4 linked regions of the Saccharomyces cerevisiae S288C genome follow. The gene in region 2 interacts genetically with the main gene of each other region. Each region holds a gene or a part of one and is shown on either strand. Other genes may lie near its edges. The genes, in order: AFG2, INM1, SNO4 and ESF1.

Evidence for each region.
Region 1: mutations in INM1 (region 2) and AFG2 together harm fitness more than expected from each alone (negative genetic interaction), as found in Saccharomyces cerevisiae (one large-scale study listed by BioGRID).
Region 3: mutations in INM1 (region 2) and SNO4 together harm fitness more than expected from each alone (negative genetic interaction), as found in Saccharomyces cerevisiae (one large-scale study listed by BioGRID).
Region 4: mutations in INM1 (region 2) and ESF1 together harm fitness less than expected from each alone (positive genetic interaction), as found in Saccharomyces cerevisiae (one large-scale study listed by BioGRID).

Annotation. Positions count from the first base shown.
Region 1 is NC_001144.5:912,050-916,607, reverse strand, and holds AFG2 (AAA family ATPase AFG2), read left to right. Parts: upstream 1-1,715; coding exon 1,716-4,058; downstream 4,059-4,558. Other genes in the region: SKI complex RNA helicase subunit SKI2, read left to right, coding at 1-1,452; tethering complex ATP-binding subunit VPS33, read left to right, coding at 4,298-4,558. UniProt on the Saccharomyces cerevisiae protein: ATP-dependent chaperone which uses the energy provided by ATP hydrolysis to generate mechanical force to disassemble protein complexes.
Region 2 is NC_001140.6:196,846-202,684, reverse strand, and holds INM1 (inositol monophosphate 1-phosphatase INM1), read left to right. Parts: upstream 1-4,399; coding exon 4,400-5,287; downstream 5,288-5,839. Other genes in the region: AAP1 (arginine/alanine aminopeptidase), read left to right, coding at 1,375-3,945; DDE1 (Dde1p), read right to left, coding at 5,452-5,839. UniProt on the Saccharomyces cerevisiae protein: Responsible for the provision of inositol required for synthesis of phosphatidylinositol and polyphosphoinositides.
Region 3 is NC_001145.3:916,834-922,540, forward strand, and holds SNO4 (glutathione-independent methylglyoxalase family protein), read right to left. Parts: upstream 2,247-5,707; coding exon 1,533-2,246; downstream 1-1,532. Other genes in the region: YMR320W (uncharacterized protein), read left to right, coding at 1-218; YMR321C (uncharacterized protein), read right to left, coding at 746-1,063; phosphopyruvate hydratase ERR3, read left to right, coding at 3,255-4,568. UniProt on the Saccharomyces cerevisiae protein: Catalyzes the conversion of methylglyoxal (MG) to D-lactate in a single glutathione (GSH)-independent step. May play a role in detoxifying endogenously produced glyoxals. Involved in protection against reactive oxygen species (ROS).
Region 4 is NC_001136.10:1,202,920-1,209,585, reverse strand, and holds ESF1 (pre-rRNA-processing protein ESF1), read left to right. Parts: upstream 1-3,202; coding exon 3,203-5,089; downstream 5,090-6,666. Other genes in the region: YDR365W-A (gag protein), read right to left, coding at 1,267-2,589; CDC40 (Cdc40p), read left to right, coding at 5,376-6,666. UniProt on the Saccharomyces cerevisiae protein: Involved in the 18S rRNA synthesis. Required for the early cleavages at sites A0, A1 and A2.

The sequences.
Region 1 (4,558 bases), on a different chromosome or scaffold from region 2:
AGATTAACATACAATATGATATTAAATCTTTTAAGAATTGAGGCGTTGAGAGTTGAAGAAATGATCAAGTATTCTTTTAGTGAGAATGCCAAAGAAACTTTACAACCTGAACATGAAAAACAAATCAAAGTATTACAAGAGGAATTACAAACCATAGAGTACAAAAGTTGTGAAATCTGTGATAATGATATCGAAAAGTTTTTGGAATTGATGCTGGCATATAAGGAGGCAACAGTCAACCTAATGCAAGAAATGGTTAAATCGCCTTCGATATTGCATATCTTGAAAGAGGGCAGACTCGTTGCTTTTAGGGACCCCAATGATTGCTTGAAATTAGGATTTGTATTTAAAGTTTCTCTGAAGGATGCTGTTTGTGTCATTATGACGTTCACAAAACCATACAAACTCCCAAATGGTGAGCCAAATCATTTAATATACTTTCCAAAAGCGGATGGATACAGAAGAAGGAACTTCCCTAAATTCCAGAAGACTGATTTTTATATGGAAGAAGTTCCTGTGACGGCTATTGAAGTGATCACTAAACGCAAGTTTGCCGCACCCTTGGGAAAAGTGATTAAAAAGGATGTTGCCGCTTTGAACGAGTTTAACGCTGAAACAAATAACATTTTGGACGGCAAAACGCTAAAAGAAGCAATTAACATTGAAAAGCAAGGTTTAAAAATTCACCAAATATTGTTAGACCGTACAAATATAAGGGATGAGATATTCAAACTAAAAAGCATTAAATGTCCCAACCTAAGCCAACACATTGTTCCCAAGTTTAAGGCGCATGTAATTAAAAAGAAAATTGAAGAATTGTACCATTTGATGTCTGACCAAAATCTGAGCTTACTACCCGATTATGAAAAGAGATTGGCTGTTCTGAAAGACACTGAATTTATCGACCAAAACCACAACGTGCTGTTAAAAGGTAGAGTGGCATGTGAAATTAATTCTGGTTATGAGTTAGTTTTAACTGAATTAATTTTAGACAACTTTTTAGGAAGCTTTGAACCTGAAGAGATTGTAGCCTTATTATCAGTATTTGTTTATGAGGGGAAAACCAGGGAAGAGGAGCCTCCTATTGTCACACCAAGGCTAGCAAAGGGTAAACAAAGAATTGAGGAAATTTACAAGAAAATGCTTTGTGTTTTCAATACGCATCAGATTCCATTAACTCAGGATGAAGCTGAGTTTTTGGACAGAAAAAGGTTTGCCATGATGAATGTGGTGTATGAGTGGGCCCGTGGTTTATCATTCAAAGAAATCATGGAAATGAGCCCCGAGGCTGAAGGTACTGTAGTCAGAGTTATCACTTGGCTAGACGAAATTTGCCGCGAAGTTAAGACTGCCTCTATTATTATTGGTAATTCCACATTACATATGAAGATGAGCAGGGCTCAAGAGTTGATTAAGAGAGATATTGTTTTCGCCGCAAGTTTGTATTTATAGAGAGCTCATTTATTCTCAATGTGAGTCATGTTTATAAAAGTTAATGTTTTCGAACTCTTATTGCACACACACACACACACGTATACATAGTTTTTAAGTCCACTTCGATCCATCTTTATTTTTTTTTTCTTTCATGTAAGCAACGGGCGGACTATTGTAAGAAAATTTTATATTGCCTCATCACATAAACTAATATGCGAACAATATACAATTGAATTCTCAACATTGCCCATTCTCAAAATTGCCCAATCATAGAAAGGAAAATGGCTCCTAAATCTAGTTCTTCCGGTTCCAAAAAGAAATCATCGGCAAGTTCTAATAGTGCTGATGCAAAAGCATCCAAATTTAAATTGCCTGCTGAATTTATTACCAGACCACATCCTTCTAAAGATCATGGCAAGGAAACATGCACAGCATATATTCATCCTAACGTATTATCCTCGCTTGAGATAAATCCGGGATCATTTTGTACTGTCGGTAAGATAGGCGAAAATGGTATTTTAGTAATAGCTAGAGCGGGTGATGAAGAAGTACATCCTGTTAATGTTATCACCCTTTCCACAACTATACGATCTGTTGGGAACCTTATCCTTGGTGATCGTCTAGAATTAAAGAAAGCCCAGGTGCAACCACCTTATGCCACTAAGGTTACCGTGGGGTCCTTACAAGGATATAATATTTTGGAATGTATGGAGGAAAAAGTAATTCAAAAGCTACTGGATGATAGTGGCGTTATAATGCCTGGAATGATTTTTCAAAACTTAAAAACAAAAGCAGGTGATGAAAGCATTGATGTCGTAATTACAGATGCGAGCGATGATTCGCTTCCCGACGTCAGCCAACTAGATCTTAACATGGACGATATGTACGGTGGATTAGATAACCTGTTTTATCTATCTCCACCTTTTATATTCAGAAAAGGCTCCACACATATAACTTTTTCGAAAGAAACCCAGGCAAATCGTAAATACAATCTTCCGGAGCCCTTATCCTATGCAGCAGTGGGCGGCTTAGACAAGGAGATTGAATCACTGAAAAGTGCTATTGAAATACCTCTTCATCAACCGACGCTATTTAGTAGCTTTGGTGTTTCTCCCCCTCGAGGTATACTTCTTCACGGACCCCCAGGTACTGGTAAAACTATGCTTTTGAGAGTTGTAGCAAATACGTCCAACGCACACGTCCTAACCATTAATGGCCCCTCAATCGTCTCCAAATATCTTGGTGAAACGGAAGCGGCATTAAGAGATATTTTTAATGAAGCAAGGAAGTACCAGCCTTCCATTATTTTCATTGACGAAATTGATTCAATAGCACCAAATAGAGCAAACGATGACTCCGGTGAAGTTGAGAGCAGAGTCGTGGCTACATTGCTTACCCTAATGGATGGCATGGGCGCTGCAGGTAAAGTGGTGGTAATTGCTGCTACAAACAGGCCTAATTCTGTCGACCCTGCTCTCAGGAGACCTGGCAGGTTTGACCAAGAAGTAGAAATTGGTATACCAGACGTTGATGCCAGATTTGACATTTTAACTAAGCAATTCTCAAGAATGTCCTCGGATCGTCACGTATTAGATTCTGAAGCGATCAAGTACATTGCTTCTAAAACGCATGGCTATGTTGGTGCTGATTTAACTGCTCTCTGCAGAGAATCAGTTATGAAGACGATACAACGAGGACTAGGAACAGACGCCAATATTGACAAGTTTTCCCTAAAAGTTACATTGAAAGATGTGGAGAGCGCCATGGTTGATATCAGACCCAGCGCAATGAGAGAAATCTTCTTAGAAATGCCAAAAGTTTATTGGTCTGACATTGGCGGCCAAGAAGAGCTTAAAACAAAGATGAAAGAAATGATACAGTTGCCTTTGGAGGCTTCGGAGACTTTTGCCAGGCTGGGAATTTCTGCACCAAAAGGTGTATTACTTTACGGGCCGCCAGGTTGCTCCAAGACATTAACCGCAAAAGCTCTCGCTACAGAATCGGGTATCAACTTCTTAGCTGTGAAAGGGCCTGAAATTTTTAACAAGTATGTAGGGGAATCCGAAAGAGCTATAAGAGAAATTTTCCGCAAAGCACGCTCTGCAGCTCCAAGTATTATCTTCTTTGATGAAATCGATGCATTATCTCCTGATAGAGACGGGAGTTCCACCTCTGCAGCTAATCACGTGCTCACATCTTTACTCAATGAGATTGATGGTGTTGAAGAGTTAAAGGGTGTAGTTATTGTAGCGGCGACGAATAGACCTGATGAAATAGATGCTGCTCTTCTAAGGCCTGGTAGGTTAGATAGACACATTTACGTTGGCCCTCCAGACGTAAACGCCCGCTTGGAAATCTTAAAGAAGTGCACAAAGAAATTTAATACAGAAGAGTCTGGAGTCGATCTTCATGAATTGGCAGACCGTACAGAAGGTTATTCCGGAGCTGAAGTTGTGCTGCTTTGTCAAGAAGCGGGCTTGGCTGCCATAATGGAAGATTTAGATGTCGCAAAAGTGGAATTACGTCATTTTGAGAAAGCTTTTAAAGGAATTGCTAGGGGCATTACTCCAGAAATGCTCTCTTATTATGAAGAGTTTGCTCTAAGAAGCGGTTCATCTTCGTAAGCTTGTTCATAGTCAATTCTTTTCCTTTGTGTGCTCAATAATAGTAGATAGAAATTATACTGAACTCCGGTCATTTTGTATAATATATTAATCACTTCACACGAACATACATAAATAAAATATCATAAAGGTTAGCAAATTGGAACTAGTTATATGTTAATTAGTTAAAAGATAGAAAATTCGAGAAAGGAAGAAAAAGCTGATATTGCCCATCTCCAACTTTATCAAATCATTTCACGATGAATAGATTTTGGAATACTAAGAAATTTTCATTAACAAATGCCGATGGACTATGTGCTACCTTAAATGAGATATCTCAAAATGATGAAGTTCTTGTGGTTCAACCAAGTGTATTGCCAGTACTCAATAGTTTGCTAACTTTCCAAGATTTGACTCAATCAACTCCTGTAAGGAAAATTACGTTACTCGATGATCAGCTAAGTGACGATTTACCGAGTGCCTTAGGCAGCGTTCCGCAAATGGATCTTATTTTTCTTATT
Region 2 (5,839 bases):
AAACATAAGATTATAAGCATGCGTTTGTGTAAAGGTCATACCATTTTATACGTTGACGCAATGGTGCAAATAGAAAGGTTTACGAAAGCTCTTATTCCGCTTAGCGCAATTCTATTGTTAATTTCAAGTAAAAAGATAAATATCTCACGTCCTTATATTATCTTTGATTAAAATTTCACGATCAATGTAACGAAAAAAGGTCGCAAATATTTCTTTTTCATCACTCTGATTAAACAATGGCATCATGAAACGCTCATTGGATCGTTACACGTTCTCATTGTACATATGTATGATTTAGAACAGCTTGTTCGCCTGATCTCCACCTTATACCCTCATCTTACCGCAGTGCGGTTTTACGCCTCATGTTATTTTTGCCAGCTTTAATAACAACATCAGTAATATTACGTTATTGGATCTTCCACTCCGGTTCGAGGAAAAAAAGAGAGGAGGAGAAACGCATAAGCTACAATAATGAGTGAGTTAACGCTTTAATTTGCTCAGTGATCATTGCTAGCCGGATATTTGTGTTTTTGTAGAACCCAGCCATACCTAATCATCTCAGTATATTATCTGAATTCTTGACTCAAAATATGGATTTTCTCGAACGTCTCACTTCCAATCATCCCATCAAATGCTGTGGATGAAAACATTTAAAACACGGGCAAGAAAAAATGAGTATAGTATAGTTGTGGCCAGTTCTTGTTGTACTAATGCACTTGCTTTCGTATCAAAGTTGAAGAAGCACTGAAAGAACAACAAAAAATTTATTAAAAGCAAAAATCATTCTACGTTCAACGAAAATGTAAGGCAAATATATCTTTATATAGGCAAGCATAACCGACGCTAACTTTGTTCGAGCTTCATCAACGTTATTAATATCGTAGTTATTCCGCTTTGTCTCAATAAGCTTTTGCTTACTTGAGAAAAAGAACGAAGTTTCTGTTTGAGATTTTCCTTCTCATTTTCTTTGAAATTTAAAGGAGAAATATTCAGCTCTATACATTCTTTGTTCGAGTATGTTACACATCACCTTACAATGGGAACATCCTATGATGACATACTTCTTCTCGATGATTTATTTTTTTTCTCAGCAAACGCTGTTTTCTAGGCGGTGAAAAACGGGAGTCTTCATCCCACATTTTTTGAACTCGTTGTGAAAGTTTTTTTTCGTACTCTTGGACTTGGCTGTGGGAGTTTGACACATTTTTTTATTTTTTTTCCGTTTTTTTCCCTTTTGTTAGCGATCAAACTTTTGACTTTATGAGTAATCTTAGCTAATCATTTAGAATTATCTTCAGGGAAGCTTATTCAATTCGTGATTTTTCTTTGAGGGTTCCTGTTCAAGCAAGCCAAATTGCCCTCTCAGCTAATACCATGTCCCGTGAAGTACTGCCAAACAACGTTACCCCATTGCATTATGACATTACACTAGAACCTAATTTCCGTGCTTTTACGTTTGAAGGGTCATTAAAAATTGACCTGCAGATTAATGATCATTCGATAAACTCTGTGCAAATAAATTACTTAGAAATAGATTTCCATTCTGCACGTATTGAGGGTGTCAATGCCATTGAAGTTAACAAAAACGAAAACCAACAAAAAGCTACTCTTGTCTTTCCTAATGGAACTTTTGAAAACCTAGGACCTTCTGCGAAGTTAGAAATTATCTTTTCCGGTATTCTAAATGATCAGATGGCGGGATTTTACAGGGCTAAGTATACGGATAAAGTCACAGGGGAGACGAAGTACATGGCTACTACTCAGATGGAAGCCACAGATGCTAGAAGAGCCTTTCCTTGTTTTGACGAACCAAATTTGAAGGCGACTTTTGCAGTAACTTTGGTCTCTGAATCGTTTCTGACTCATTTGTCCAACATGGATGTCAGGAATGAAACAATCAAAGAGGGTAAGAAATATACAACTTTTAACACGACTCCAAAGATGTCTACGTACTTAGTAGCATTTATTGTAGCTGACCTGAGATACGTGGAAAGCAATAATTTCCGTATTCCAGTAAGAGTTTATTCTACCCCAGGGGACGAAAAATTTGGTCAGTTTGCAGCCAATTTAGCTGCTAGGACCTTGAGATTCTTTGAGGACACCTTCAACATAGAATATCCATTGCCAAAGATGGATATGGTGGCAGTTCATGAGTTTTCTGCTGGTGCTATGGAAAACTGGGGGCTAGTGACTTATAGAGTTATTGATTTGTTATTAGACATAGAAAATTCGAGTTTAGATCGCATTCAAAGAGTTGCTGAGGTTATTCAGCATGAACTAGCCCACCAATGGTTCGGCAACTTGGTCACCATGGATTGGTGGGAAGGCTTATGGTTGAATGAAGGTTTTGCCACTTGGATGTCTTGGTACTCTTGCAACAAGTTTCAACCAGAATGGAAAGTTTGGGAGCAATATGTTACTGACAATTTACAACGTGCTCTAAATTTAGATTCATTAAGATCTTCCCATCCAATTGAAGTTCCCGTTAATAATGCGGACGAAATCAATCAAATTTTTGATGCTATTTCTTATTCTAAAGGATCTTCTTTATTGAGGATGATTTCCAAATGGTTGGGTGAAGAGACTTTTATTAAAGGTGTGTCCCAATACCTGAATAAATTCAAATACGGTAATGCAAAGACCGGAGATTTGTGGGACGCCTTAGCAGATGCCTCTGGCAAGGACGTTTGTTCGGTGATGAACATCTGGACAAAACGTGTTGGTTTTCCAGTGTTATCTGTCAAGGAACACAAGAACAAAATCACATTAACTCAACACCGTTATTTAAGTACCGGTGATGTTAAAGAAGAGGAAGATACAACCATATACCCCATTTTGTTAGCTTTGAAAGACAGTACAGGTATCGATAACACATTGGTATTGAACGAAAAATCTGCTACTTTCGAATTAAAGAATGAAGAGTTCTTCAAGATTAATGGTGACCAATCTGGTATTTTCATTACCTCTTATTCTGACGAAAGATGGGCTAAGCTATCCAAACAGGCAAATTTATTATCCGTAGAGGATCGTGTTGGCTTAGTCGCAGATGCAAAAGCCCTTTCTGCATCTGGCTATACCTCTACTACTAACTTCTTGAATTTAATTTCTAATTGGAAAAACGAGGATTCATTTGTTGTTTGGGAACAAATCATTAATAGTTTATCCGCTCTGAAATCTACTTGGGTCTTCGAACCAGAGGATATATTGAATGCTCTAGATAAATTTACTTTGGATCTAGTACTTAACAAACTTTCTGAATTGGGGTGGAATATTGGCGAAGACGACTCCTTTGCTATCCAACGTTTAAAAGTGACCCTTTTCAGTGCCGCATGCACTTCTGGCAATGAAAAAATGCAATCGATTGCGGTAGAAATGTTTGAGGAATACGCCAATGGGAACAAACAGGCCATACCTGCACTGTTCAAGGCAGTTGTTTTCAACACCGTTGCCAGACTTGGCGGAGAAAACAATTACGAAAAGATTTTCAACATCTATCAAAACCCTGTTTCGTCAGAAGAAAAGATTATCGCTTTGAGAGCTTTGGGCAGATTTGAAGACAAAGAACTTTTAGAAAGGACATTGTCTTATCTGCTAGATGGTACAGTTTTGAATCAAGATTTTTACATCCCAATGCAAGGCATTAGAGTTCATAAGAAGGGTATTGAAAGGTTATGGGCTTGGATGCAAGAACACTGGGACGAAATTGCTAAGAGATTACAGCCAGGCTCGCCTGTGTTGGGTGGCGTGTTGACATTGGGTTTAACTAATTTTACCTCTTTTGAAGCCCTTGAAAAAATTAGTGCGTTCTATAGTAGAAAGGTCACTAAAGGTTTTGATCAAACCCTGGCTCAAGCCTTAGACACTATTAGATCCAAGGCGCAATGGGTGAGCAGAGATCGTGAAATCGTTGCTACCTACTTGCGTGAGCATGAGTATGATCAATAGCTTTTTTTTTTCACGAGCACCTACAACACAAATATATACATATGCCAATGAGTCAAAACCACGTGTAATTAATAAAGAGATTACTACTTGCTTATGTAGAAATATAGTAGCTAGCAGAAAATGAATCTGATAACATCTTCATTGACACATTTCCAAGTATAGAGAACTTTCTTCTGCTTCCTTTCGGAAGAACTGAGTGAATATTGACTGGCGTGCGTCATAGCGAGATTTTTTCATCTGATGATGTATGGAAAAAAAAAAAAAACTTTTTTTTGAATAATGGATGCATCGAGTGACTTTCATTGTTGCGCACGTTGCTTTTCCAAAAATGGTATTAATATAGGTCTTTTATCTCTTACTTCACATTTAACTGCTTGTTAAATAACCCCAGTGTTTTCTTTTTTTTGGATGAATAAGGAAATCAACAGCTGGTACACGCATATACACATATACCATGACCATTGATCTAGCTTCTATCGAGAAATTCCTCTGTGAACTGGCTACTGAAAAAGTAGGACCAATCATCAAATCCAAGTCCGGCACTCAAAAGGATTATGACTTGAAGACTGGCTCCAGGAGCGTTGATATTGTAACTGCTATCGATAAACAGGTCGAAAAGTTAATTTGGGAATCGGTAAAAACCCAATATCCAACTTTCAAGTTTATTGGAGAGGAAAGTTATGTGAAAGGGGAGACCGTGATTACTGATGATCCTACCTTTATTATTGATCCAATTGATGGGACTACAAACTTTGTTCATGATTTCCCATTTAGCTGTACCTCTCTTGGGCTCACAGTAAACAAAGAGCCCGTAGTAGGCGTTATATATAATCCTCACATTAATCTTCTGGTATCCGCTTCTAAAGGAAATGGGATGAGAGTTAACAACAAGGACTATGACTATAAATCAAAATTGGAATCTATGGGTTCTCTAATACTAAATAAATCCGTAGTGGCATTACAGCCAGGTTCCGCTAGAGAGGGAAAGAATTTTCAGACAAAAATGGCCACATATGAAAAATTACTATCATGTGATTACGGTTTTGTTCATGGATTCAGAAATTTAGGATCATCTGCAATGACAATGGCATATATTGCTATGGGGTACCTTGATAGTTATTGGGATGGTGGTTGCTATTCGTGGGACGTGTGTGCTGGATGGTGTATTTTGAAAGAAGTGGGCGGTCGTGTAGTAGGTGCCAATCCAGGTGAATGGAGTATTGATGTCGACAATAGGACATATTTGGCTGTGAGGGGAACAATTAATAACGAAAGTGACGAACAAACAAAATATATCACAGACTTTTGGAACTGTGTTGATGGCCATTTGAAATATGACTGATCGTCAGCACATTAGGCCTAATATAAAATGTACGATTAAAATGACAGTTATTTGAATCATTTTAGCTGATCACAGGGATATAGAAGGTATTGGTAGTAATAATAATAATGATAATAATAATAATGATAATAATAAATAATAAATAATAAAGCGATAGATAATGCTCATTGATTATAGATGTATAAGCAACCGTCTTGGCCAAATAGTCCAAAAACGCCAACTAGAGGCATCCATCCTTCACCTCCTCCAAACCTTTCAGCTAAATGCAAAGCTTTCTCTAAACGATCGGACTCTACTGGTTTACCTATGCTAAAACCACGAATACATAACATACCCTGCTTCTTCTCTATGTTCAAATGAGGGTTTGTTTCCGTTTCTACCATTTTTCCTTCTAATGTTGTACTTAGTGTTCCATAACATACAACGTTATCGTCCACAGATTTTCCAAAAACCCTATAGTCATAAAAATTGGTATGTGCCACAGGTCCCATGATAGCGTAGGGACAATATAACTCGAGGACTACACGGGATCCTAATTGAGCTCTTATTTTA
Region 3 (5,707 bases), on a different chromosome or scaffold from region 2:
TGAGTTGTAAGGTAAAAAAACCCATTGAGTTATTGCACCTTCAAGAGTTAATACTTTACACTTTTATGAAAATTTGCCTTCACGTAAACTTGATCCAGCAAAACATCAATAAGTTGTCATATATTTCTCGAAAATATCCAAGGGCACCTGCTTTTATCAGCTGCGACAATAGAGCCACGGAGCCAACAAAAAAAGGCTTTTTAGTTTGCCGCATGTAATGATTGGCGAATAATTTTTCAAGGTTATGATTGTTCTTGGGAACACAGATCACGGAATCCTTTTGCCAATAATACATTAGATGGAATATTTGGATACAACTTTCGAATATAACGCCTTTTGAGCTAGCAATATCGACTGTATGGGAATATAAAAGTTAATTTTAGGCAATTTAATTAATCGTGACTGGTCGGAGAAGGCGAGATTGTAGCTCCACCATGTGAGGATTATTGGCAAAGGTTTAGATCCGGTGGAGATTTATCTTCTTTTACCCCATCTTACTTGTGCACTCTCCCAAATTCCCATCTGATGAACTGTTAGTTGATTCCTTTAGATTATAAAACATATGATGTTTACTCTGTTTTTTGTCGGCGAAGTACGGAAAAGCATTTGTGACTCTAAAAAAACATGGCAAGGATAATTAATTAACAATACTTCTTGTGCTGTTTATAAAATGTATTTAGTGTAACATGCTGCTTCCTAGCATATGTATAATGTTAAGAATTTTCCAGTTTCTTTAAAAAGGCATTTACGTGTATTTCTTGACGGCTGCAGAAATCTCTTGGATGTCTTTTGGACTTGTTCTGCAACAACCACCAATGATACGGGCACCGCTGCTAATGTACTGTTTAACAACCGTATCCCAACTGTTCAGCTTATCGCTATTTGGCAACCATATCTTCTTTTCAGTATCATAAACTTCACCACTGTTTGGATAAGCAAGCAAGGCCATATTTGGCAGTGCTTGATGTAGAGACTCAAGAATGTCGGGTGATTGGTTGAAGCTGACGCAGTTGATTCCTAAGAACGAGAGGTTAGGATTTATTTTGTCGCCCAAGTCCATCATCTATTTACTACGAAACGATAAATTTCCCCGTTTTCTTTTACTTTTACTTCATTTAATATAATTCATATTTATTTCCCATGTACCAATTAATTACTCCTAAAAGAACAGAAATAGAAAAAAGTTGTATATAACAAGCCAAAAAAAAAAAAGAAAAAAGGAAACACAGCTTATTTCAAATTGCAATCTGCGTATTTCGTAAGTAACGAATGATCTCACAGCATTGCTTTTTTTTTTTTTTTTTTTATATATATGTACATTACCTATGTCACATATGACCATGATGAGTACAACACTAAAAACCAAGGCCTACTATTCAATTGTTCTCTATATGATTTCCATTCTAGCAAAATCGAGTGCTACCGATCTGCCGTTTTCTTTACCTTTCGAACCATTGAGCTGTTAGCCTTCTCTTCACAGAAACTGAAGGCCATTAGAAGCCTCCCCTTCAACAATTCCCTTGTCTTTTGTTTCAGCTATATAATGCGTTTATAGCTCTAATTGTGGTCGAATAGGAAGAATTTGCGTTAACACCCGTAACTAGCTTTCCATCGGTAATAGAGTAGTCATCCCAGGGATGAATTGGCGCCAAGTACTTGGCTCTATTCTTGTTTGCAACGCGTTCAACCGTTGTCAATTTTCTGCTCCTCAAGATGTCGTCAACTCCCAGGGCGATTTCACCCTCGAGTGGGAAACCTGTTATAGCTTTGCCTTCGATTAATGGTCTTGTTGTTTTGATATCTATTAATCCATCGAAAAGGAGCGGTCCATGACAGATGGCGGCGATCACACCCCCATTGGCATATATCTTGGATGCAATATCTTGCAGATTTTTAGCTTTGGGATAGTCAAATAGAGCACCATGTCCAGCAGATGCAAAGAATATTTTATAGTCGCTGGCGTTGACTTCATTTGCGGTCTTGATCCTCGCTAACGCCTTATTGAAGGCGGAATTTTTCGTTTCAAAGTTCATCTTATCTTCGCCACCAATAAAGCTCTTTGGCAAGTAATGTTCATCCCAGCCAAATCCACCAGTCTCAGAAACGAAGTCCACTTCGAAACCATGCTTTTCGAAAGTATCGAACGACCGCAAAATCTCAACTACAAAAACGCCTGTTTTCGCACCATCTTTATAGAAGGGACCGTGGTATGAAGTAAGAGATATTAGCGCTCTTTTTGGAGTCATTGCAAGGCCAGTTTTCTTTTTGAATGAAGGAGAAAAGTGTTCTAGAAATATGTTTTAGTTCTAAGTATCGTTGTCTGGAGCAAGCAAAGAAAAGCAGACCTGTATGTGCAACTTTCTTGTTTTCCATTAAAATCTCAAGAACCGGCCCCTTGACTGTGCTCATATATCAAGTATCGGTTTTAAAGTCCCCTAATTGTGATAATTGCAAGAATGACAGTCAAAAAGATATTTTTCTTTTCTTTCTTTTTACCTATCCTTCATGAAAATACCTATGCTGATACTGAATATCTTCATTTGCAGCTATGCAATATTTCAGATACTGCATTTTACCCAAGAGTTTCTTTACTGGTGGTTGGATTTTTTTTAAGACGAGAAGATTACCAGTCCTGGATGTTCATGAATGTGCCTATTGCGTCATCAGCGACTCCGCGCCAAGAAAAGAAATACTCGCATGCTCGGATTTATAGAATCGCATAATGGAAATAGCTTCCTTAAAGGATGGAGATAAGGAAAAAATGACAAGAACAAGGAAGTACTTGGGAGCTTTCTCCGACATGTTAAATATTTGAAACTCACGCAGCTCTCCTGGAAAGTTGCATCTGGAAAGGTAAGGTTGTTTTTTGTTCAGACATCAAAATCGGCTCTTGTAGACAATGTCACAGATCCACAAGTTGAAAAAAAAGTTTCGATGAACTGGATAAGGGGAGAGGTCACAAACAAAGTGTAGGGGGTGAGTAGTATAGTGGTAACTTGTTCATTTACCTAAATAACATTCTCACTAGAAAAGAGATATTGAAAGACTCCTCGTTTACCTAACTTGGCTGGTTCTTAGGTATATAATAGAAACATGGATCTGGCAGGTTATTACTTACAGTTTGCATTCCCACCAGGTAACAATTTTCATTATATATAGTTATTTTTTACCACCACTTCTTCTTCTTTCACTTTGTCTTGCAATAGAAATACCAAAACAAGGTGAGGAAAAAATCGAATCTCAACGATAAAAATATGTCCATCACGAAGGTACATGCTAGAACGGTGTATGATTCTCGCGGTAATCCGACTGTTGAGGTTGAAATTACAACAGAGAATGGTCTCTTCAGAGCGATCGTCCCATCTGGTGCCTCCACCGGCATTCACGAAGCTGTTGAACTTAGAGACGGGAACAAGTCCGAATGGATGGGAAAAGGGGTGACCAAGGCAGTCAGTAACGTCAATAGTATCATAGGGCCTGCTTTAATCAAGTCCGACTTATGTGTAACCAATCAGAAGGGCATAGACGAGCTCATGATATCGTTAGACGGAACTTCTAACAAGTCAAGGTTGGGCGCCAATGCTATCCTTGGTGTTTCCTTGTGCGTTGCTCGAGCTGCTGCCGCACAAAAGGGAATTACTCTCTACAAGTATATAGCCGAGTTAGCGGATGCTAGACAGGACCCCTTTGTTATTCCTGTTCCTTTTTTCAATGTTTTGAATGGTGGAGCCCACGCCGGTGGCTCTTTAGCTATGCAAGAATTCAAGATCGCGCCAGTCGGGGCTCAGAGCTTTGCAGAAGCCATGAGGATGGGTTCGGAGGTTTACCATCATTTGAAGATATTGGCGAAGGAGCAATATGGACCTTCCGCTGGAAATGTTGGTGACGAGGGTGGAGTCGCCCCCGATATCGACACTGCCGAGGACGCCTTGGACATGATTGTGAAAGCCATTAACATATGCGGTTACGAGGGTAGAGTGAAAGTAGGAATCGATAGTGCTCCTTCTGTTTTTTATAAGGACGGGAAATACGACCTAAATTTCAAGGAACCGAACTCTGACCCATCTCACTGGCTCAGTCCAGCTCAGTTAGCAGAATATTATCATTCATTGCTAAAGAAATACCCAATCATTTCCCTGGAAGACCCCTACGCCGAAGATGATTGGTCCTCGTGGTCTGCCTTCCTAAAGACTGTCAATGTTCAGATAATTGCAGATGACCTGACATGCACCAACAAGACCAGGATCGCCCGTGCTATAGAGGAGAAATGTGCGAATACTCTGTTGCTGAAACTCAACCAGATCGGTACTCTGACTGAGTCTATTGAAGCCGCCAATCAGGCTTTCGATGCTGGATGGGGTGTAATGATATCACATAGATCAGGTGAAACCGAAGATCCGTTTATCGCTGATTTGGTCGTTGGTTTAAGATGTGGTCAAATTAAATCGGGCGCTTTGTCGAGATCAGAAAGACTGGCCAAGTATAATGAACTTTTGCGTATCGAAGAGGAACTGGGGGACGATTGTATATATGCTGGTCATAGGTTTCATGATGGAAACAAACTATAAAGGATTGTCTTGTTTCCTTTTTTTTTTTTTTGTTTTTTTATGACTAAATAAAGTAAATCATATGAGGTTTTATTTTTTATTTCGTTGATTTGGGTTACAGTATGGAAATGGGGCATTTGACACAAGTTATTTTATTCATATGTTTTATCTTGTAGGAAATCAAACCGTTTTTAAAGTTTTCCATTGCCTACACACAAAATCATTACGAATCTGTCTGAACAAGGGTGGACGTGTGGGGGAAGGCTGTTCCAATCAAGAAATGCTTACAACTCTACTAACACTGCAGTTTTTCAGCTTTCTGATTAATCTCTTCGGTTTAAATTTTTTAGCAGCTATTACTTTCTAGTAACCCTTATAACGCGGTTGGTATCAAATCTTCCTGATAGTACAAGCAGACCTTTGACCCCATTCTTGTTGTGTCTTGAAATCTTTTTTTCTGACAAAAGTAAGAAGTTACACCATAATAGAGAAGTTAAATAATGAAAGTGTATCGATCATAGAAATGATTTCATTTTTTTCAACTACTGTTACGGTCAAGAAACTAATAATGAGGATAAGTTTTCGCAACAATGATTTTGGTGCAAGTGATTTAAAGTCTTGAATTACTTCAACACAATTTGCTTTGCGACGGTTTAGAATAACGTAATCGTATCAGCGAATCCACTAGGCGCGCGTAAAAATTACAGACTCTAACAATATACGACTCCCAGCACATATCTACTATTCTGTACAATTCCGGGAAATAGAGGGTACAGTATTATTTTTTCTCGGCGATCGTTTAGGGTATACTGGAGATAGGCTTAGCAATACGCTTCTGAACGAGGATCTATAGCAACTAAATTCAGACATTCTGCTACACCAAAAATGGAAGTATCACAGGAACGGAAAAGGGTTTTATAAGGCACCTCGGCACCCCTATAACTGGCATTCTCACATTCGGCGCATACGAATAGACAAAGGCCCCAGAAAACAATACCTTCGCATACAGAATCTATAAAGATGCATGCCTCGTTTAAAAACAAGAACATCTTCATAGTGATCATGAAATTGTGTGAAAGATGAGATATGTAATGCGTGAGGTACTAAATGAGGATATGTTAACGAATCGTTTAAGTGGTGATGACCAATGAAGGAATAGG
Region 4 (6,666 bases), on a different chromosome or scaffold from region 2:
GGATGTAGAGCGTAGCCTGGGATGCCACGAGGATGTATTTTGGAGTTAGGGTTGTGATCATTGACGATAACAGGTTGACCGAAAGGTAACAAAGTACTGATATCAAGTCCTGCCAAGCCAGCATGTTGTCTTGCAGATTTTTTGCTTTTAGGTGAAGCTAGTGAATTTCTCACAATAGTAGAAAATTCGATTGCAGAGAACCATAAATAGTTCGGTAAACCACTACATTGCAGTTGAGTACGGCAGTCATCTAATAAGGTACGGTTTAGCCGTTCAGCGACTCCATGTGCTCGGGAATCCGCTGTGGTTGTATAGCATGGAGTTATACCATTTTTTTCAAGGAATTTATGGAGAGTTCTGTTAGTATACTCAGAACCACGGTCCATTTGTATAACCAAGACACTGGCCTGAAACTGGTTCTTAATAAAAGCTAGTATCGTAGTAAAAACATCGAGGATAGAGTCCTCGCGACGGTCGTGTAATGGATAAACCCAACGGAATTTTGTTGTCTCATCAGTAAATGAGATGAAATAGGATGGTGCACTATTTGGTAGGTTGTGAACTGGACCAAATATGTCAGTATGTAGGTATTGAAAGGGTTCGTATGAATTTTGGTATTTTAGTCGTGAACCTTTGATATGTCTGTGTTTGGTGCTTTTGCCGATTAAACAATCAGGACATTGATAGTCAATAGCACTAGACCAGTCGACATCTGATTCGTTAAAATACGTGATGGTGTTATTTTTAAGTGAGTATCGAATTGTCTGTGCATTGGCATGCGCAAGCATTCGATGAATGAAAGGATAAGGATATTTGCGTGTACTTTCACTTGTATGGACATTATTGATGGTGGGTACGGAGATATTTGATGGAAGCAAGTACCTTTTAGATACCCAGTAAAAGTCTCCATATTGTACGATAGGTGCAAGTACAGTGCCGTCAGATCGTTCTAAGACGTTTTTGGTAAAGCATGCTGTGATATCTACTGCAGCCAATTCATTCAAACTGAGTAAGTCATAGGCTATGTTAGGAGTGTGCAATACCTTTATTGATGTTTTGGTGTTGTCCTGGAAGTGAAATTGTAGGTCACCAATAGCGTTAATTGGTATATTTCTTTTTTGAGCATCAACTACGTTTATGTCAGGATTAGATGATGCTGAGTGTATGTGATGAGCAGATCTTATAAGGGTTCGTGATGCTCCTGAATCGAGAAGGAGGTGTCCAGGGAGTTCATCATCAGAATGATTAGTGTGATTTACCGTAGATTCAGTAAGTTCCTGGCCTAAGGTGAAGGTCGTGCTTATTGTTCAATTGAATCGGTTCAGTAGTTGATTTACTGATGGAATCGTTGTCCGTGCTGGGAGAGTTATTAGATGTGGATACATTGTGAGCCCTGGCTGTTTTCGATTTCGAATTATTTGTTTTTTGAGGATTCCGAGCTATAACTTTGGGTTTGGTTGTATTCGTATAGCTGCGAGAATCATTCTTCTCATCACTCAGATTTCTCCTGTAATTAGGTTTGCTGTTTCTCGATCCCTGTTGTTCTTCATAAATAGCATGGATATCTAAGAACAGTTCAGCGACTGTCATATTTAGATGTCGATGACGTGTGTAGCGTAAAAATTTATATTCGCCAGATAGACCTCTCATAATTAATTGGCATGCGACCTTGTTATTGATATGAATGCCATTATTGTTCAGTCTGTCGATAATGTTTGTGACTTTTGTTTCAAATGCATCTGCAGGTGTACTGCCATTATATTGCAAATTTGCCAGGGTCACAATGTCGTTTGCCTCTTGGGTATCAGATTGCATTTTTTCAATACTTTTGGAAAGAATTTTCATGATATCCGTATAATCAACGGATAGGATGTCTTTGACCCAGGTAGGTAGGAATTGAGAGGGAGCAAATATTTGAAAAGTGTTATACAAGAAGGTGAGTTCATCATCAGTGATCTGACGTACGGGTTTTCCGTTTACTGTCGGAATAATACCACCGAGATTCGAGTTTTGTAAAAATTTGATGTATGTTTTAACCCAATTTGGAAAGTCATTAGGTGAGGTTAACATTGGTGGTGGTCTGACATATTTTTTAGTGGATGTCATATCAGAGTCCGCTGAGGATGAATCAGTAAATGTATTACCTGACTCAGGTGATGGAGTGCTCAGAGGCGTTCCAACTGATGATGGATACTGCGGAAACTGTGATTGTGGCCCAGGTGGAAAGTACATAGGCGACATTTGATAAGGTGTATACGGAATCATAGATGGGTGTCCGTAAAATGACCAACCAGATGGATTGGCTTGGTTTTGGGTCATCATGCACTGCTGTGGGTACGGCCCATTCTGTGGAGGTGGTACTGAAGCAGGTTGAGGAGAGGCATGATGGGGGTTCTCTGGAACAGCTGATGAAGCAGGTGTTGTTGTCTGTTGAGAGTTAGCCTTAGTGGAAGCCTTCTCACATTCTTCTGTTTTGGAAGCTGAAACGTCTAACGGATCTTGATTTGTGTGGACTTCCTTAGAAGTAACCGAAGCACAGGCGCTACCATGAGAAATGGGTGAATGTTGAGATAATTGTTGGGATTCCATTGTTGATAAAGGCTATAATATTAGGTATACAGAATATACTAGAAGTTCTCCTCAAGGATTTAGGAATCCATAAAAGGGAATCTGCAATTCTACACAATTCTATAAATATTATTATCATCATTTTATATGTTTATATTCATTGATCCTATTACATTATCAATCCTTGCGTTTCAGCTTCCACTAATTTAGATGACTATTTCTCATCATTTGCGTCATCTTCTAACACCGTATATGATAATATACTAGTAATGTAAATACTAGTTAGTAGATGATAGTTGATTTCTATTCCAACATGCTTCAACAATCTCGGAAGCATCGCTCAGAAGCGCAAATACAACTCTGTGTCTACTATGCCAAGAGAGGACGATTGAAATCTGCTAATAGCCCTATATCCAAAGATTAGCAATATGAGCCGGGCCAAATATCCCAGATGAGGCTACCGATCATTATTGACGTTCCGAAATTTTTCAGTTACAGAAAAAATTTCATCTCATCTCATCTCAAATTCATCATTAGCATAATGGTACAAATAATAAATATCACATAACTGTGGGTCCGGAATATTTTTCAAGACATTTCAGCGGATCGTATAAGGTTGCAAGAAAAATTGAAGATGGCTGGAGAGAACCCAAAGAAGGAAGGTGTAGATGCTAGGTTTGCCGGGATCTACAGCGATCCTAAATTTAAGAACACGAAAACCAAAGATCATAAGATCAAGTTAGATTCTAGGTTCAGTAAGAAGGATCTGGAGGTCCAGCATAAATCTAAGGTTGACAAGTATGGTAGAAAGATCAAAAATGCGCAGAATAACAGGGAATTGGAAGATTTCGACAAATATTTCGAAAAGGAAGCAGAAAATGATGAAGATTCAGAAGTTAATGCGAAAACAGTAGTGGACCGTGCCCGTGGTGAAGTTCCTGATGATTATGTTAGCTCTTCTGATGAATTCACTTCTTCTGATTCTGAATCGTCCGGAGAAAGTGAAGTTGAAAGCGAAGAAGAAAATGAAGTAGAAATTGAAAATGCCAAACCAGAATCTGGTGACATCTCTAAGAATTTGGCCGTCGTAAATTTAGATTGGGACCATGTTAAATCTGAGGATTTGATGATTACCTTTTCCAGTTTCGTTCCTAAAGGTGGTAAAATTGAAAGAGTTGCTATTTATCCAAGTGAATTTGGTAAAGAAAGAATGCAACGCGAGGAAGTTGAAGGACCTCCAAAGGAACTTTTCCAAAAGAAAAATAAGAACAAAACCTCCAAAAAGAAGAAAACTGATGACTCTGATTCTGATATGGACATCGGTATTAAGGATCTTTATGAAGAGGGAGATGCTGACAAGGACGTGGATTCCAGAGCTTTACGTCAATACCAGTTGGACAGATTAAGATATTATTACGCAATAGTTTATTGTAGTGATACAACCACCTCCAAAGCTATCTATGATAACTGTGATGGTACCGAATATGAGTCAACCGCTAATATGTTCGATTTAAGGTATGTTCCTGATGGTATGACTTTTGATGATGATGTAAGAGATGAATGCAGTATATTGCCTAAGAACTATAGGCCACACCAGTTTAGCACAGATGCTCTACAACATTCAAGCGTCAAATTGACCTGGGATGAAACGCCAGCTGATAGGGTCGAAGTTGCTAAGAGGGCCTTTACCCAAAAGGAAATTGATGATATGGACTTTAAGGCTTACTTGGCGTCAGATAGTGATGAATCGGATGGGCAGGTCGATGAAGAGGCGAAAAATAAACTAAAGTCGTTGGTTGGTGACTTTGGGTTTAATTCCAAGAAAGAAACCCCTAACGATGAAGATGAAGAAGTTGATATGGAAATTACATTTACTCCAGCCTTGGAAGGAGGAAACGAGAAATCGTCGGAAGACAAAGAAGAAACGACTATAGAGAAAATAAGAAGAAAAGAGAAGGAACGTCGTAAAGCAAGAAAGCAGAAAGTAAAGGAATTGAAACAGCAGTCGGAGAAGGATAAGAAAAGCAAGTTGAAATCTGTTAATAAAAAGCATACTAACGATGAAGAGGAGATCGAAAAGAATGCCAAATCAAAGGCTGAATTGGAGCTTTTAATGGATGATGATGATGATACCGAAACTCAGGGCACAATAAATAACAAAGCACATTTCAACATGAACGAAATCTTAAGATCAGAAAAAGAAAAACACAAGAAAGGCCGGTATCAAAAGAAAGAGAGAATTGTTGAAGACACCTTTACACCTGATTTAGAAGATCCTAGATTTAAAGAAGTCTTCGAAGATCACGATTTTGCTATCGACCCGACCCAGCCTGAATTCAAAGGTACACAAGCTATGAGTAAAATCCTAAAAGAACGTAGTAAACGTGTTAAGAATAAGAAAAGAAAACTTGGCGGTAGTGAAAACAATATGACCAATAACGCAGATGATAATGAAGATATTGGTAACTTGGTAAACAAGTTGAAAAAGAAAAGCAAATCATCCAAGAAGGTAAAGGTTTAAAGCAGTCAATGAAATAGTATTTAAATGAAACTTGAATACAAATAGATATGTACAATTATAAAGAATGCATCATTGGATTTGTAGTTGATATCAATTATCGTAATGTTTCTCTGACCGGTTCTTGTAATACCATTTCTTTGAATTTTCTTTTTTGTATTTTGTCTTATTTACGAGGGAGTACTGTGTCCTTGCTAGAGATGAGGTAAAAAAAAAATCTTGAAATTTTTCCTTTATTTTTGGCCAAATAGTGCAACAAACACGGCATGTACTTTGAAGAGCAGATGAAATGGGTTTAGTAGACGGTTATGACACAAGCTCAGACTCTGATTTGAACTTCGACGAAGGCAAATCTGTTCATGAAAAGAAAAATGGTAATTTGCATGAAGATACTTCGTATGAACCTTCTTCAAATAATATTCATAAGAGAAAATCACATTTTACAAAGTCAGAACTAAAAAGAAGACGGAAAACTCGCAAAGGAGATGGGCCGTGGGGCAGTTGGTCAAGTAGTGACGATGAAACTTCACAAGCCAGCGAAACTCAGAAAGAAGATCAGGATATCTTCGTGCACGCGCTGGCTGAGGACAACCTAGATTCGGAACAGATAGAGGTAGAGGAAGTCTCCCATTTTTATGGTAAATCAGAAAAGGACTATCAAGGCAGAGGATATTTATATCCACCAAATGACGTCGATGTTGATCTTCGTGAGGAAAGGATATCCTTTCGGTGTTACTTACCAAAAAAAGTTATACGTAATTATCCGGGGCATCCAGAAGGAACCACTGCCCTGAAATTCTTACCTAAAACTGGACACTTAATTCTCTCTGGTGGTAATGATCATACTATAAAAATTTGGGATTTCTACCATGACTATGAATGCCTACGAGATTTTCAAGGTCATAACAAGCCTATTAAAGCATTACGATTCACCGAAGACTGTCAATCTTTTTTGAGCTCTTCCTTTGATAGAAGCGTTAAAATTTGGGATACTGAAACTGGTAAAGTGAAAACCAGGTTGCACCTTAATTCAACGCCTGCAGATGTTGAATCTCGGCCCACTAACCCACATGAGTTCATTGTAGGTTTATCGAATTCGAAAATATTACATTATGATGATCGTGTTTCAGAAAATCAAGGTCTTGTGCAGACATATGATCATCACCTAAGTAGCATTCTGGCTCTCAAGTATTTTCCCGATGGTTCGAAGTTTATTTCTTCTTCAGAGGATAAGACGGTAAGAATTTGGGAAAATCAGATCAATGTACCAATAAAACAAATAAGTGACACGGCTCAACATTCTATGCCATTTTTAAATGTACATCCGTCTCAGAACTATTTCTGTGCACAAAGCATGGATAATAGAATATATTCTTTCAGTTTGAAACCCAAATATAAGAGGCATCCAAAAAAGATATTTAAAGGGCATTCATCTGCTGGTTATGGGATAAGCTTGGCTTTTTCTGGTGATGGTCGTTACATATGTTCAGGCGATTCAAAAAGCAGACTATTTACTTGGGATTGGAATACGTCGCGCTTATTAAATAACATCAAGATTCCAGGCAACAAGCCTATAACTC